4 linked regions of the Nothobranchius furzeri genome follow. The protein of the gene in region 4 interacts with the protein of the main gene of each other region in a biochemical or structural test. Links are inferred from orthologs where the notes say so. Each region holds a gene or a part of one and is shown on either strand. Other genes may lie near its edges.

What was found.
Region 1: the proteins of protein c-Fos (region 4) and runx2b form a complex in vitro, tested with the Homo sapiens proteins (2 studies listed by BioGRID). The link is inferred for Nothobranchius furzeri from reciprocal best matches to the Homo sapiens genes FOS and RUNX2.
Region 2: the proteins of protein c-Fos (region 4) and runx1 form a complex in vitro, tested with the Homo sapiens proteins (2 studies listed by BioGRID). The link is inferred for Nothobranchius furzeri from reciprocal best matches to the Homo sapiens genes FOS and RUNX1.
Region 3: the proteins of protein c-Fos (region 4) and atf2 form a complex in vitro, tested with the Homo sapiens proteins (3 studies listed by BioGRID and IntAct, with this or other methods). The link is inferred for Nothobranchius furzeri from reciprocal best matches to the Homo sapiens genes FOS and ATF2.

The regions. Positions count from the first base shown.
Region 1 is NC_091742.1:21,554,479-21,558,099, forward strand, and holds part of runx2b (runt-related transcription factor 2b), read right to left. Parts: intron 2,938-3,621; coding exon 2,833-2,937; intron 1-2,832. UniProt on the Homo sapiens protein: Transcription factor involved in osteoblastic differentiation and skeletal morphogenesis. Essential for the maturation of osteoblasts and both intramembranous and endochondral ossification.
Region 2 is NC_091743.1:80,937,609-80,941,229, forward strand, and holds part of runx1 (runt-related transcription factor 1), read right to left. Parts: intron 2,127-3,621; coding exon 1,975-2,126; intron 1,913-1,974; coding exon 1,802-1,912; intron 1-1,801.
Region 3 is NC_091754.1:21,204,659-21,208,279, reverse strand, and holds part of atf2 (cyclic AMP-dependent transcription factor ATF-2), read left to right. Parts: intron 1-1,331; coding exon 1,332-1,546; 3' UTR 1,547-3,621. UniProt on the Homo sapiens protein: Transcriptional activator which regulates the transcription of various genes, including those involved in anti-apoptosis, cell growth, and DNA damage response.
Region 4 is NC_091742.1:2,309,361-2,313,561, forward strand, and holds protein c-Fos, read left to right. Parts: upstream 1-1,443; 5' UTR 1,444-1,592; coding exon 1,593-1,727; intron 1,728-1,997; coding exon 1,998-2,216; intron 2,217-2,305; coding exon 2,306-2,413; intron 2,414-2,529; coding exon 2,530-3,180; 3' UTR 3,181-3,658; downstream 3,659-4,201. UniProt on the Homo sapiens protein: Nuclear phosphoprotein which forms a tight but non-covalently linked complex with the JUN/AP-1 transcription factor. In the heterodimer, FOS and JUN/AP-1 basic regions each seems to interact with symmetrical DNA half sites.

The sequences.
Region 1 (3,621 bases), about 19 Mb from region 4:
AAACAAAGATGAGAAAGCTGGGTTTCAGTAAGATTTAGAGACGTTTTAGTGTTTACAACAGTGGGATTTCACTGAATCAGGCGACAAAGCTCCGCCCCTTTGGGAGCGCTGTAGCTCAGGTAGACTTCAACATCCAGGGTTGAAACCGGTCACAGAAAGCTGGCTAAACTGGTACTTTCGTGTCTTTATTAGTTCTTACACCATCAGGGTTTAAGTTTCGATCATTTTTAGAAATTTAATTAATTATGATCCAATCTTTTAATAGTCAAAAATTGGAATTTTGTGCAAAAACAATTTTTATTCCTGCAAACCCTTTACGACATTTACAAACTTTTTTATGGAAATGCAGGTATTTTTGTTTTCTTTCACCCAGTGTGTCTCCCCGCTGTAGGACTTTCTACTCAAATCTCCTCAGAACAGACACCCAAATATCCTAATTTACATTTTAGCTCCAACTCCTCTTTGAAACTGAAAGTGAAACTTTTCATGTCTCCAACATAAAACACAGAAACGTATAAATTCATATGCGGTACAATCAGAGCCTTTCTGAAAGTTTACTTTTTAGTCTAATTTCCCATCAGCCTTTTATTAGTTAAGTTAGCTACCAGGAACTATGTCGTTAGCATTAGTACACCATAAAAGCCCCATTTGATTACCATGGTGACCCAAATGCTCCACTGGTCGTCACTCTAACATTTCTCTGGATCTTTGTACTCATTACTTTTGGTATATATTTGTTTTGTCTTGGATAAGGTAGCTGAGTTTACATCGTTTAAAACTTCAAATTTAACATTAAACACTTTAAGATAAACAAAGACAGAGCTGGCTTCCGTTCACCTGTTATCAGGTAGAACTCCTGGCCTGTTTCTGACTTGTCTCCAGCTCCGTCTCTCCCACGAGGCTTTCTGAGACAGACCTAAAGCTCCAACTTTGTTGAGGTCAAGTTCAGCTCTCCTAAACAAACAGTTCCGACTCCCATCTGCTTGCCACTAAGTAACAAGACTTGTTTGAAAGTCATCTGACGGGGGACAGCAGATGCACAGGAAATGCTTTTGATCAAACAAAAGCGAGAGCGGGCGGTGGGGAGAAGTGGGCGTGATTGTGAGGACATATGCGCTTGAGGACTTGCATATGCCTTTGTTTTTCGGGGCGCATGTCTCCGAGTAGTGTGACGTGGAGCCCATGCGTGTGTGTGTGTGTGTGTGTGCACTTCTTGGCACCGCCAGCAGGTTTCCTACAAGGCAGAGCGATGGTGGTAGTAATCCTACTGTCTCTTGGCTCCTCTGTGTCTCCGTGTTTCCTGGTGCCATATGTGACAGGGCAGGCGGCTGGGTGGACTGTTTGTGATGTGATATTGTTCAATGAGATGCCTTGAGATGAGAATACGTTATTTTTTTTTATGAATAGGGAGGAGGTCTGTGGAAACAGCTGCATGCCAGACCAGTTGGCACTGACGGCTATAGTAAAGTTTTTTTTCTTCCTCAGTTGTTTTTATAAGGCCCATTAAAATAAGCTGATGCTAGCACTCTGCTACCCAGTGTACCCTCTCAGGGATACTTTGTCTCACATTTATGTCTCTTCTTTCTCTTGCATGGGAAACTCGACTGTTTCATTTAATTAAAAGCCAGTTGATTGTCTGTTTACAGGATTTAGAGCATCTTCCAGTAAAAGCTTTTTTTTTTTACGACTGTTATTTTGCTTGTTTAAATAGCGTTTTGTATTTAGCTGAGCATTGGTTGGCTCCACGAAGACACACCCACAACTTATTTAAAGGGACAGAACCCTCATTTCACACATTGGGTCAGTACGCAAACCTGTTTGAATCAGTGAAAAAGTAACTTTCGCACATTTACTCGTTAACTGCCAGTAACGACAAAAGTCGTCATTTTAAATCTAACCATTCACTGCCATTTTTTTTTTACTGTGTGGGTGTCGGAACGAGCCCCCGCACCGTGAGAACAAACATCCCAGTTCTAAAGCTGATCTTCATCCACGTACGTCACACGTCACGTGATCAGGAAGCAGATCATCCATGTGTTAGGAGATCACTTTGGGCCAATGCTGTAAAAAAAGTGAGGCGCAAACCGGAAAAGCTTCTGCAGATCACAATTCAACAACGTATTATGAAAGAACGGATAACGTTTGAAACGCGCAGATTCTTCCTGATGTAAGAGGGTGAGTCTACTCTTTGCTTTGGTAGTTTTGGCGTTGACATCATCAAAGCACGCAACGCTCTGTAATTCTTGAAAAAACTGTAAAAACGCTGAAAAACGCCAGCAGCGACGGGTTTGACTGATCAGGAAACAGCTGGCAGTCAATGAGTTAATGCACAGAGGAATGGAACCCCCCCCACACACACACACACACACACATACACACACACATCAGTACAGACTAAATACATTAGAAATAGAAATATCTGAGCATGCAGCAGCGAGTATGAACCTTTTATGATCATGGAAATGTAGTATTCAGTTAAATATAGAGGGGGCGGGGCTTAAATCCTGTACCGAAACCAGCCACTAGAGGCGCTTGCTGGATTCCTGCTTCAAAGTCCAGGCTGTGTTCAGATGTCTGGTTTCACTATTAATGTTCTTTATCACTGTTCTACAATCTGATCCTGCATGAGCAACTGTAGATGCAAAGATACATTTAAGGAGAGGTATTGTGGGAAAAGGAGTTTTTAACATTTTGAAGGCTGATGCAGCTAAAATGTGGACCGCTACTAGCCTTTGATCTACTTTAAAACGAAGTGTGACACAAACATGTTGTATTTTGGTTGTTTTGTGTTGTATAAGCACATTTCTGTGCCGTGCATGCGTTGGTACTCACTCCTGGGCTCACGCGGTCCATCCACGGTGACCTTTATAGCTCGGTGATAAGTGGCCACTTGTGGAGGGTTGGTGAATACTGTGATTGTCAGCGTGAAGCTCTTGCCTGTGGTGACATCAAAGAACATCAAATGATGTGCAGTCCGTGAAGACAATGACTGGTATTCATCTCTAAACCATCCCCAAGTCACAAGTGTGGAAGGGATCACACAGCGGCAATAAAAACCAGGACAAGTTTGACTCGGAGAGGATTAACAACAGAGAACTGCTGATTTAAGAAGGTCTGTGTAGTTGTTTTGGCAGAGTCTAAACAGAAAGATGAAAATGAAGGAGCCAGTATCTCATTATCCAGAACCTCTGATGCAGCGTGAGTGGGCGAGAGGCATTTTAATAGTCACTTCCTCTCTCGATAATCCCCAGCAGTTGCTGCCTTGGGGTGGACTGCTTGTCTGTGCAAGTGTGTGCGTTCTAATGCTCACGCACGAGGAATGCTGTGAATCAGATGGCAACAGCCAAGTCAGCAGCCATGCTAACGTCTGAAGCATGCAAACGCACCACGCAACACGTGGGAAGCAGTAAGGAGGAGGCAAGGGAAGGGAGGGGGAGGCGGGCGGTGGGGTTGCAGCAGCTGTCCGTTCAGCTGCGTGTGTGCCCCCCCCCCCCCCCCTCCTGCTTCTAACCTCTCTTATGATAAAGATAGGATGCACATACCTGATTTAAGGTGCACAAGAATGTTGTGGGATAAAAACAGGACACCTGGTGCTCCACCATCCCGTCTCCCTTCTGTCTT
Region 2 (3,621 bases), on a different chromosome or scaffold from region 4:
CAATGACATCCACTCATGACACTCCACAACGATGCATTGTGGACCAAACACACACACACACACACACACACACACACACACACACACACACACACACACACACACACACACACACACACACACACACACACGCGTAAAAGACTAATGCATAAAACTCAATAAATCAATCTGCTGTCTCTCTCTTTCTCTCCGTGTGTGTGTGTGTGTGTGTGTGTGTGTGTGTGTGTGTGTGTGTGTGTGTGTGTGTGTGTGTGTGTGTGTGTGTGTGTGTCTTCTGCAACTAGTGCTGCTTTTTCAGAAATGCATTTTGTTTCAGAACAGGAAAGCCATCCCCCCCCCCACACACACACACACACACACACACACACACACACACACACACACACACACACACACACACACACACACACACACACACACACACACACACACACACACAAGGGAATACAAAAGAAACCAGTGAATCATCAGACTGCGTTTTAAAAACACTGCAGATGAGTAAATCTGATGATTGATTTTTGCTGTAGAAAAAGACTTTAAAGTCCTGCAAGGCGAGCCTCTGTGACACAACAAAAAGCATCACACGGCGATATTACAACATCTTTTTTTTGATATTTTACTCCACTGTTTATTTGGGGGTGTTGTATATTACCCTGTCGATGCTAGCTGCCTTAAAGGATGTATTAATATTTGATTTAATCTCACAAAACTAGTTTTTTCAAGTTTTGGGACTTTTACAGTGAACAAGAGACAATGATGAGATTAAGAGGAATAACGCTGCGGTGAGCTGAGGGGAAGGGGTCCGCTGTCGGTGACGTACACGTTTAATGAGTATAGCAGAACAACATTCCTGGGAATTGGGAGAAGTTTAGTATAAGTTTGTTGTATTTGACGACCAGAACAATTAATAAGTCTTTTCCCACCTGGTTGTTTTCTAAAGTATGCATTGATTTTACAGAAAAAGGTTGAACATAGTGATAAATATTGTTACCTGGATGGGAATTACTTACAGGCTATTGAGAAATCAAATGTTCACATCACACACCGGCTATGCTTAGGTGAGATGCCTATATTCATACAGCGCCCTCTAGAGTCTTAGAAGCCCTTAAGGTGCTTTACAACACACACTCATTCACACACCGGTGCTGATGAGCTACGCTGTAGCCACAGCTGCTCTGGGGCGTACCGACAGAAGCGGCGCTGGAACAGAGCTTAGAACATGTTTAAGATTTTAATTTGATCAGTGAAATGATAGTTTAGGTTAAAACCAGAGTCTCAGGTGGTTCTGACCCGGCCCAAGCAAATGCAGGTATTAACTCACTGGTTTCCTGTCTTTCTCCAGTGGGAAATGTTGGTTTTATTGATCCAACTGGCTGGTCTTTATGATGGAAGTCTCAGGGTGAGCAGAGGTTTTATTTGTTATATTGATGAATTTTTAATAAAAAAAAAATAAAAACTTGAGGAATGGCAGAAATGTGTGTGTGTGTGTGAGAAATTAGATCTAAAGTCAGTTACACCTCTTACATCAGGGTACTTATGGCAGTACATATTGGGTACTTTAGTTACGAGGGCAAGGCCCTTTGTACCCATAAGTACTGAGCCGTTTACGTACGGCCACCAAAAATAATAAATAATTTGACAGTTTCACAAATAAAAGCATGAATAGAATACTATTATATGTATTGTAATACACTCTATTATTTGTTTTGTTGTACTTTTAACTTTTTTACTGAAGTATACTAATTTGATCTTCATCCCACGTTTATATTAAAGACATATTTTCTTTAGTGATGAAACTCACCTTGAAAGCGATGGGCAGAGTCTTGTTGCACCTCCAGTGGGAGGGGAGCACGGAGCACAGGAAGTTGGGACTGTCGGTCTTCACCAGCTCTCCTGAATGGTCCGAGATCACCTGGTAACAAAGCATCCCGTCACTTCCTGAGCGGAGCGGTTATCGGAGCGGTGTGGTTTTACCTCTGCCATGCCGTGGTCTGAGAGGCGCAGCTTGCCCATCAGAGCGCCCCCCCCACTGGCCTCCTGTGCCCCCAGGGGCAGTGCCTCGGCCATTTTCCCTCCCGTGGCGAGCGAGGTGGAGGTGGGAGTGTAACGCCGGCCAGGAGCTGGATCTATTAGACAAAGAGGGAAAAAAGGATATTTTTTTAATTATCTGTTTTAATAAGTCTTATTGTTGTAATGTGATCAGTGGGGAAGAAAACCCATCAGCTCTTAGTATGCAAGGCTAATCTCTCCTTTTACTGATACTTCCTGGTTAACAGAACCAATCCGACTCCTGGTCAGTGTAGAAAAATGCTACATTTATCCGTTTCACTTTCCTCTTAGGAAATAAACAGGAAGTCTCAAATATGGAATGCGAATGCAGCGAGTCGGGACGCGAGTCAGAGATGGATGACACACCAGACAGCGTAACGATTAAACTAAAGTCGTTCCCGTTTGTTCAGACTCCCCACAGATAGATTGTGAAAAGTGATATACTATCAATAAGTTCATCTGAGGACAGTTCCTGCCTGTAGTGTAATTATCATCCATTAAACGCAGGAACTGAACCTGCGGGGATGAAGGATGCAGCTGTTGGTGACTGGCCGGAGACGGGACGCCTCGATGGAGGCCACGGACGCTCCACGGGTGGAACCAAAACCAAAAGCAGCGAGAGGACTTCAGTAGTTTTTATTATGCTGTTTTACATGTTAATGATGGTGAACGGCCATCTGACCTAGGCCACCTTTGGTTTTTAGCTTTGCACCAAAGCCAGTGTCTGACTGGTCGGCAAGTGTTGGTGACACTTTTTGTGTTTGTGAGTTTCCAAAAAGTCTTCAGTTGTTTGCAAACGTTCTGAATTCCCCAGAGAGGCTCAGCCCTGAGAACGTATGAGGCTGCTCTGGCAGGGGTTGGTGACCAGTAGAAACCAGACGGTGCCTGGTGGGAAACAGAAAAATCCTCAAAGCAGCAAAACGGCTAAACAAACAAACGAGAAATCACATCCTAAATAATTCCGCTTCAGGTGGTTTGTATCTAGCAGAAAAAAATGCGAGAAACAGATTCATCCCGCAGCCAAACAAAACCCTGCAATTCCCGTTTTATTCTGCATAAGTAAAGTCTGTGAGACTAAAAAAAAAACACACTTTATTTTCACTTTTAGTTTCAAATCTGCTGAAATGCCTGTAACATCCTGCTGCTGGGGTGGGTTTTCAGTTGGTTGGGGAACAGAAATTTTGTCGTTTCTTATTTGATGAAGAATAAATCGTTGCAGCATGAATAACTACATAGTTGCACTAGTCACCAGTTCTGTTCCTGCAGGTCTAGAATCCTTAAAAAAATTAATTCACAAGATACTTTTTATCTTAGATCTCAGATTTATACCCGATTACTTATATTGAAAGTTTTAATTAGTGATTAACTACGAGGAATTCAAACATGCTGTTTTCTTACTTTTTTAAAAATGTATTTATTATTATTTTTACTGCTTTGTAATTGTTCATTACGGATAAAAATACATGGAAGAGAATTTTATAATCACACTTTCTTAACACGTTAAATATTGGCCGATTCTGGTCACATTCAAATTTGATTTAGTTTTTTTATTTTTTGGTGCAGCTACATTAG
Region 3 (3,621 bases), on a different chromosome or scaffold from region 4:
CTATAGGGCATGTTGTGATCTGTGGGGGAAACCGGAGTACCCGGAGGAAACCCACACATGCATGGGGAGAACACACAACTGCACGCAGAAAGACCGCAGCCGAGTTTTGAACCTGCAACCTTCTTGCTGCGAGGCAACAGTGCTAACCACTGCGCCACCATGCAGCCCACCACAATCTAAAATCATTTAGTCCTCAACAACTGCAGAAATGACCCCAAAAGCACAAGGATCCCCTGGTTTGGTGCCACTTTAAATATCAGTGTAATTAGTAAAGCACTATTTGACTCTGATCATTCATGTACAGACTTCATAAAAGTCTCTCAGAGTTACAACTCCCGTACGGCCACTCTGCCCTCCGGACTCCGTAATCCCCCTGCCCAGGCGCAGGAACTGGCTGGTGGAAGGAAATAGCCCAGACTGCCCCACCAACAAGCCAGGACACAGTTTCACTTGGCACCACGAGCCGTCCATCTGTTTACAGCGAGCCTCTGCTTCAGAAAGCGAGAGAGCGGAAAGAAGCTCTGCCCACCCGGGGAAGCAGGAATTTCAGAGTATTATGATAAATCAGCTGGCCGCCACTTGGTGTTGTTAGGAGCAATGATGCTCGCTTGAACATGAAACAAAACCACTAAGCTAATTTAGATTTTGACCTGAAACAGAAGTCAACGTGTGCTTTATCGTTTTTCTTAACACCCTTTTAGGAAGACTTCTCTACAGCCGTTCAGACGTTGCTCCCTTTCGATGGAATTTGTATTTTAGATTCTCAAAGACCTGCTCATTAATTACAGAGTGGAGTAACAAGCGACTTTATATCATTAGCAATATTAATTATCATCGTGCTCCTTATTCCTGTATGAAACGGAGCATGAGAGTGGAGTCTTTTTTTTCCCATCAGGATCCAATTAATTCAATGCAACTGCCTAACAGCTGGTGGCATTTCGACTCCAAGTCTTCCCTACTCTCCAGTGTGAGCATCATTAAAATCAGGTGCTGTAATCATCTGTCGCTGCAGTAGTTGGCAAGGTAACAAAAAACAAATGAGACTGCAGTTAGGGATGGGAAGCGCTGCCACATGCCCCAGAATGTAATGCCCCCTTATGATGTGGGTTTAAATTGACATTGGAGCGTTAATTAAAGGAAAGGGGTGCAGAAGTAGCATTATGGGGATTAATGAAATGGTTTGCATCCTCTACACGCTGATAGCTGTTTTACATGCAAATAGGCTTGTGTGACACGGCTACCCCATTGCCTTCTGGGTTTTATCTGCTGAAATAAAATGTAAGGAAGGATATTTAAGCCTCGCGGCCGGCTGTTGTTTGATGTTTTTACAGTCTCCGACAAAGATGAGAGCTGCGAGGAGATGTCCATCCCCAGCAGCCCCCAGAACGAGGCTATCCAGCACAGCTCCGTCAGCACCTCCAATGGGGTTAGCTCCTCCTCAGCTCCGGCCGTCTCCGCCCCAGCCAGTGCCGCTTCGGCTAACCCAAGCACAGAGGAGAGTCAGCCACGGAGGGGCGCTACCAAATCCCAGTCCTCAGGGAGCTGATCGTCCCAAACTGCATCCACGCTGGAGCGCGGCGGTCTCTTCAGACAAGCAGAGGAAATAGTTTCTCTCTCCGCTTCAGTTCAGATTGTACACTTTTTCATTCTCTCTTGATTGCTTTGTATTGCGTTTGGCCTGTTTAGTAATTCATAGGAATGCTTTTAAACATGCAACGTATTCTCTGTAACTGCTGAAAACAGAAGAACATGCACTTTAGGTGTTTTTGTATTTGTTGAACTTGTTTATTGATCTTCTTTATATTTATTGATTGGAAATCAGCCAAGTGAAGTGATTGAGCAGTCAGTTGTTACCAAAGTGTGGTGTTGCTCTTTTTTTAATGCTCTTGAACTTTACAAGCACTACCTTTATGATGAAGATACTTTAAAGCAGCAATCTGGAGTTTTCTCCCTTTCGAGGAATTATGTATAATTTTTTAGAAATTAGTAAAAGTGGTAGTGTTACCTGGTACTGTGATATAATTAGCAATACTTTTTTTTCTTTTCTTTTTTGGGCTCAGATTGCCTCCATCCCATAGAGCCCCGTGCAGTTTGAATTGAGCACTTCTCAGCATTAGCATTAGCCAGTAGTGTTAGACATCCCCTGGTGGTGATGAGCTACAATATAGCCACAGCTGTAATGGCTGACGGAAGCAAGGCTGCCAAACACAGGTGCCACTGGTCCCTAACAACCACCACCAGCAGGCAAGGTAACTTGTCTTGCTCAAGGACACAACCACTGTGACGGACTGAGTGGGACTCGTTCCCACAACCCTCCAGTTACGAGGCGGCCACGTAACTCCTCTACCACCGTCGTCCTAATTGTAAAACAATGTTTTAGCTACGTCTGTCGGCCAGAGGTGCACTTTCACACACGAGGGGCGTTGCTTCCAGCCATGATCACAGAAGCAGGGAAAAGGGCTCATAGGTGTAATACCGTTTTTCCACCTCTAGATGGTGCCCTCTGAGGAAAAACTCTGGATTTTTGCTTTAAGTAAATTTGCTTTGACCATTTTCCACATATCTGAGAGGAGATGGGTTTACTTTTTGGAGAGGTGGCGAGACACTGGCAGCTTTATTAAGAAGTTGGTCTAAATTCTGGACACAAAACCGGAGTTTTAATTTGACGAGTGTTTATGAAAACAAGATCAGCTGTCGTTGGGGAATGTTTGAGCTCGCCTCTGCATGTAAAATAGCGTCACACCGGTGAGCCGGCTGGATTTGCGTCTTTCATTAACACTCCACCTGTAGTCTGATTGTCCCTGAAGCAGTGATTGTAGGATCGCAGTACTTTTTTGTTTATTACTCCGTCATGGTGACGTTGACTTTACTCAGTGCCATTAACGTTTTTGTATAAATTACCTCTGTGCATTAAAAAAAATAAGAATAACCTGAGTTTATTGCTGTTCTCTCAGATTTCTTCTGTTTACTGTGTTTGCTTCATGCGTGTCTTCAGTATCCGATGCAGAACATTTAGGGACATTAGGTTGTTTTCATGATGGCAATTCTAGATGACATTTTTAGTAAACATTGTAAGAAAAACAAAGAACACATCAATATTGAACTTGCCTGTGGTCATTCTTGATATTATGTACTTTGTTATATAAGATTGTACACATTTAGTAGATGAACTCTCTTGATCACATCAAGTTTAAAGAAAATGACCTTTAATCTGATTAGAATGCATCAGTAGATTGTAAAATGAAAATATTCTCATGTGAACTGGAATCGCATCGTGTACTTTAGTTACACAAACTGATTGTGATTATTTGTTCATTAATTATGAGAAACAAAGCCCAGCTTTTAAAGTCAGTTTGCTTTTTCTCTTAGTCCCTACTGGCTTACTACTGTGTAGTTTTTACCAACACATTGTTTTCTGAAAATGGGATTTTTAAAGTTTTACTGTTGTGCTTTCTGCATGAGACAACGATTCTCTACGAGAATTTGACTTTGTTTAATGACGCCTCAAACTAAGAAAATAATGGTCAATTAAACAAGTTATTACGACTTGAGTTGTGATTTGTTTTACCCTGGCTTAAACTGCTTCAAAACCTGGGTGTGATATGGTGTTGACAGTGTTTA
Region 4 (4,201 bases):
AAACATGAGCGCGGTAAACGAAACTAATCTGCTGCTGTTTGACACAATAACACCGTTTTGAACTCGTTATTAATGACATTTCAGATTAATAATAGTTTTATATTTTCAATACATTGAAAGTCAGTTATTTCTGTTGTGGTTTTTACATAATGTGAATATTTTTGCACTTAAAATGTCATTTCTAATGCTAAAATAGGAATTAATGATTTCATTTGGAATTAAAGGCAAAATCTCATTTGTTTAGAGCAAAAATCCTCACATCCCCGTTCTGAAACGCAGGAAAAAACTGTGGTATTTATGTGAAGAAAAATACATTTTTACAAATTATGATGAACAATAAACTTAAAATTTGGTCTGGGTGGTGACTCGGTTCAGCTCTGCACGTTGCCAGGTGTCAAAAAGCGAGATACTTGAGGATTCCCTCTTTACAGGTGCAGTCTGCTTTCGATGAAAGCACACACACACACACACACACACGCACGCACGCACGCACACACACACACACACACACACACACCTAAACTTCCTTTGACGTATGTTTAGCCCTCTTTAGCCTTCCACCCATAGGCTTGGCACTTTTGAACAACCTCAGGAAATGAAATATTTCTTTAATAAAAATCCGTTCCTGCAAGATAATTAGGCTCTTTTTTAAACAATTTATTGGGTATTTTACCCTCTTCCAAAATCCAAAACAGCTCTTTGAGATGTTAACACAACATTTGATAGCAAACACTGTACAATCACTTGTTAGCACATTTAGAAAGTATAAAACTGCTCAGAATGATTTTCAAATATTTGATTATGTTTAACTTCACAGATTTTTAGCAAAAAAGTGATGTGAAGAAAGCTGCACGTGCTTTCTGATAGTAGATCATGTTTATATATATATATATATATATATATATATATATATATATATATATATATATATATATATATATATATTTTAGATGGGTTGCTTATGAAAACATGGATTGTGGTTATTTTAGTTTTGAACCAAACTAAAAATCTGCTTTTTCTACTTGTAGTGAAAACTATTCCGTTAGCTATGATTGTAGTTTACTCACAACAGCCTCTGTGTTTGTAGTTTTACATAACGCCAGGCTGCTGCCGCTCAGACGCTCAGATGGTGTTTCCCATCAAGATCCGCCCACCTCGCAGGAGGATGCACCATATATGGTAAACTACGTATCGGGGATTCCTTGATCTGGAATATTCCACTTATTGGTCGCTGGCTTTAAAAACAGACACGTTCTCGTCGTAGAGAGGTTGACAACACGCTTCTTGGTGATAAGCTTGTCGTATTTAGCGTGTTGGGTTTTTGGCTGCGTTGTTATGCTAGTGTTTATGGTTTCCTCCTGCCGGTTTCAGGTTGAAGACACGCCCCCAGTCGACGTCACGGCCTGGTGTATAAAACCGCTCCGAGATGCCGGAGTTGGCAGATGAAGTTTGAGCAGCAGAGCAGCGACTAAAGGAGTACGATCCACAGGAGCGCTTCCAAACCTGCAAAAGGGATTTCCTCGTCTCCCGTTTACATTCCCCTGAAGTAGTTTGTTTGGATCTCCCGAGCTTCTTTTTAGCGCTTTGAAAGGATGATGTTCACCGCTTTCAACACGGAGTGCGACTCTTCCTCCCGGTGCAGCACCGCGTCCCCGTGCGGGGACAATCCTGGATACTACCCGTCACCGGCGGGGTCTTATTCCAGCATAGAATCTCCACAATCTCAGGTAAATACGCCATTTATGTTATTTTTTTCCCATAATGACTTAAAATAATTTTTTTTTAAAAGTTCGTGGGTGACAGAAATGTTGTGAAATAAAGGGGCAGTTAGTGATTCAATCATGCCATTTTCATGCATTCACCTGGAAACTCCATAGAGAGCATGTAACGTCACAGCTGACATCATAGGGATATTTTTAAATTGTCCAGTTTTTTATAGCAATATGCTGCTGCAACCCCCTCCTCAAACTAAACCACCTTTCACTTCTTCCCTGCAGGATTATACTGAACTGACAGCATCAAGTGCCTCCTTCATACCCACAGTCACAGCCATCTCCACAAGCCCTGATCTGCAGTGGATGGTGCAGCCTCTGGTCTCCTCCGTGGCCCCCTCTCACAGAGCTCACCCCTACAGCTCCAGCAGCCCCAGCCCAGCCTACACCAGCACAGCTATGAAGTCTGCATCCAAGGTTTCCAAGAGAGGCAGAGTGGAACAGGTGATTATCCTCTGCAATATTATGGATTAACTCAAAAGTGCATTACGGAGCAGGGATGTTAACTTTTCTGTTGCTTCTATGATGTGCAGTTGAGCATTGAGGAGGAGGAGAAAAGAAGAATTCGCAGAGAGAGAAACAAGCAGGCAGCAGCTAAATGCCGCAACAGGAGGCGAGAGCTTACAGACACCCTCCAAGCTGTAAGTATCCCGCCAGACTTTGCTTTCACTTATCAGAATGTTTTCACTGCCAGAGCTAATAGCAGTGCATTCCAGCAGCCGACTAAATGCCTCTTTTCCCCTCCTTCCCCTGGCAGGAAACTGATCAGCTGGAGGATGAGAAGTCTGTCCTGCAGAATGACATTGCCAACCTGCTGAAGGAGAAGGAGAGGCTTGAGTTCATTCTGGCCGCCCACCAGCCAATCTGCAAAATCCCCTCAGAGCTGGACACAGACTTCCACCTGTCTTCCATCTCTCCTGTCCACTCCTCCATCCCCTCTTCCCAGCCTGTAAAGTCCGCCGTCACTTCTAGTCAGCCAACTTTCACCTCAGCCTCCAATTCCCTCTTCTCCAGCAGCACCCCCATCCTCTCCACCACAACCATTTCCAACAGCACAGTCAAGATGACCGACCTGGACTCGTCTGTCCTGGAGGAGTCTCTCGACCTGCTGGCAAAGACGGAGATGGAGACGGCTCGTTCAGTCCCCGAGGTCGACCTGCCCAGCTCCCTTTACACAAGTCAGGACTGGGAGCCCCTCCACAGCTCAGCCAATAATGCTGACTTTGAGCCTCTGTGCACACCTGTCGTGACCTGCACTCCAGCATGCACCACCCACACGTCTTCATTCATGTTTACCTTCCCAGAGGCTGAGACCTTCCCCTCTTGTGGCGTCGCTCACAGGAGAGGAAGCAGCAGCAACGACCAGTCCTCCGACTCGCTCAACTCCCCAACCCTGCTGGCCCTTTAAGGACTCTTCCTGGATACATCGTTCTTCCTTAACAAGCACATTCTCCTCAGATATACGTGCACATCAAAGGGCAATAGCACAGACTTGTACATGGAAGCATAATTCTTAATGATTTTATCTGCCTTTATATACAAATATACTTGCCTATTACACCATGTAGCAAGTTAATAAGCATGTTTCAAACAATAGTCGTTCTATGAGTTCCTCTGATTATATGGTGCTAGATAACTAAACGTATTGTTTACTGATGTGTTTTAAGAGCAATACTTATTTATTTTCTGTTAAACTAGAGTAATTATGACATGTTTGTGATAAAAAGACAGGTGTGATTTTGTCTTAACCATGGTCTGAGTGGTCTTTAAAATATGAAGTTTTCTGTGAAAACATTTGTGCTTTTAATTTATGAGAGTTTTATTTTTTTACAAAGTATAAAAATGTTGTTATATATGTGAATAAAATTTAGCGATATTTAAATTCACTTCTTTTGTTTGTTGGACTTTTAATATTATTTATTTTATCAAGTATTTCCGCCCACGTGTCAAAGGACGTTATGATAATGCCCCAAATCGGCCTGAACAGGGATAGCGGTATTTTTCCTGCTCCTTCCTGCTCTATTTATTGTTCCGTCTGTTGCCAAGGTCTGCTGTACGTCAGGGCTGTGACGTCAGTGCGTTTTTTCCTTCTTTTTTTTTCAATTTGCAAATTATGCGCTGTTGCGTTACTTCCGTGCCCAAATACGGGGAGTCGCTGTTGCAGTCTGTGAGCAGAACCAGAACGGACGGTCGGACCCGATGGGTCGGACACAAAAGCGCACCAAAGGTTTCCTCTGAGCCGAGAGCAGCTGCTGGCATGTTCGCCGGAAGACGGAAAGAAAAGCTGTTGCCTTTATTCCGCAATCCAGGCCACATTGTTTCTCACGTCTCTACTGGCTACGACAGCTTCTGCAGACGAAATCACCAGACAGCAACGCTTCAACCACAAAGCTGTGTTTGGTTCTGCAAAGGAAGGTCTGAATGCGTCA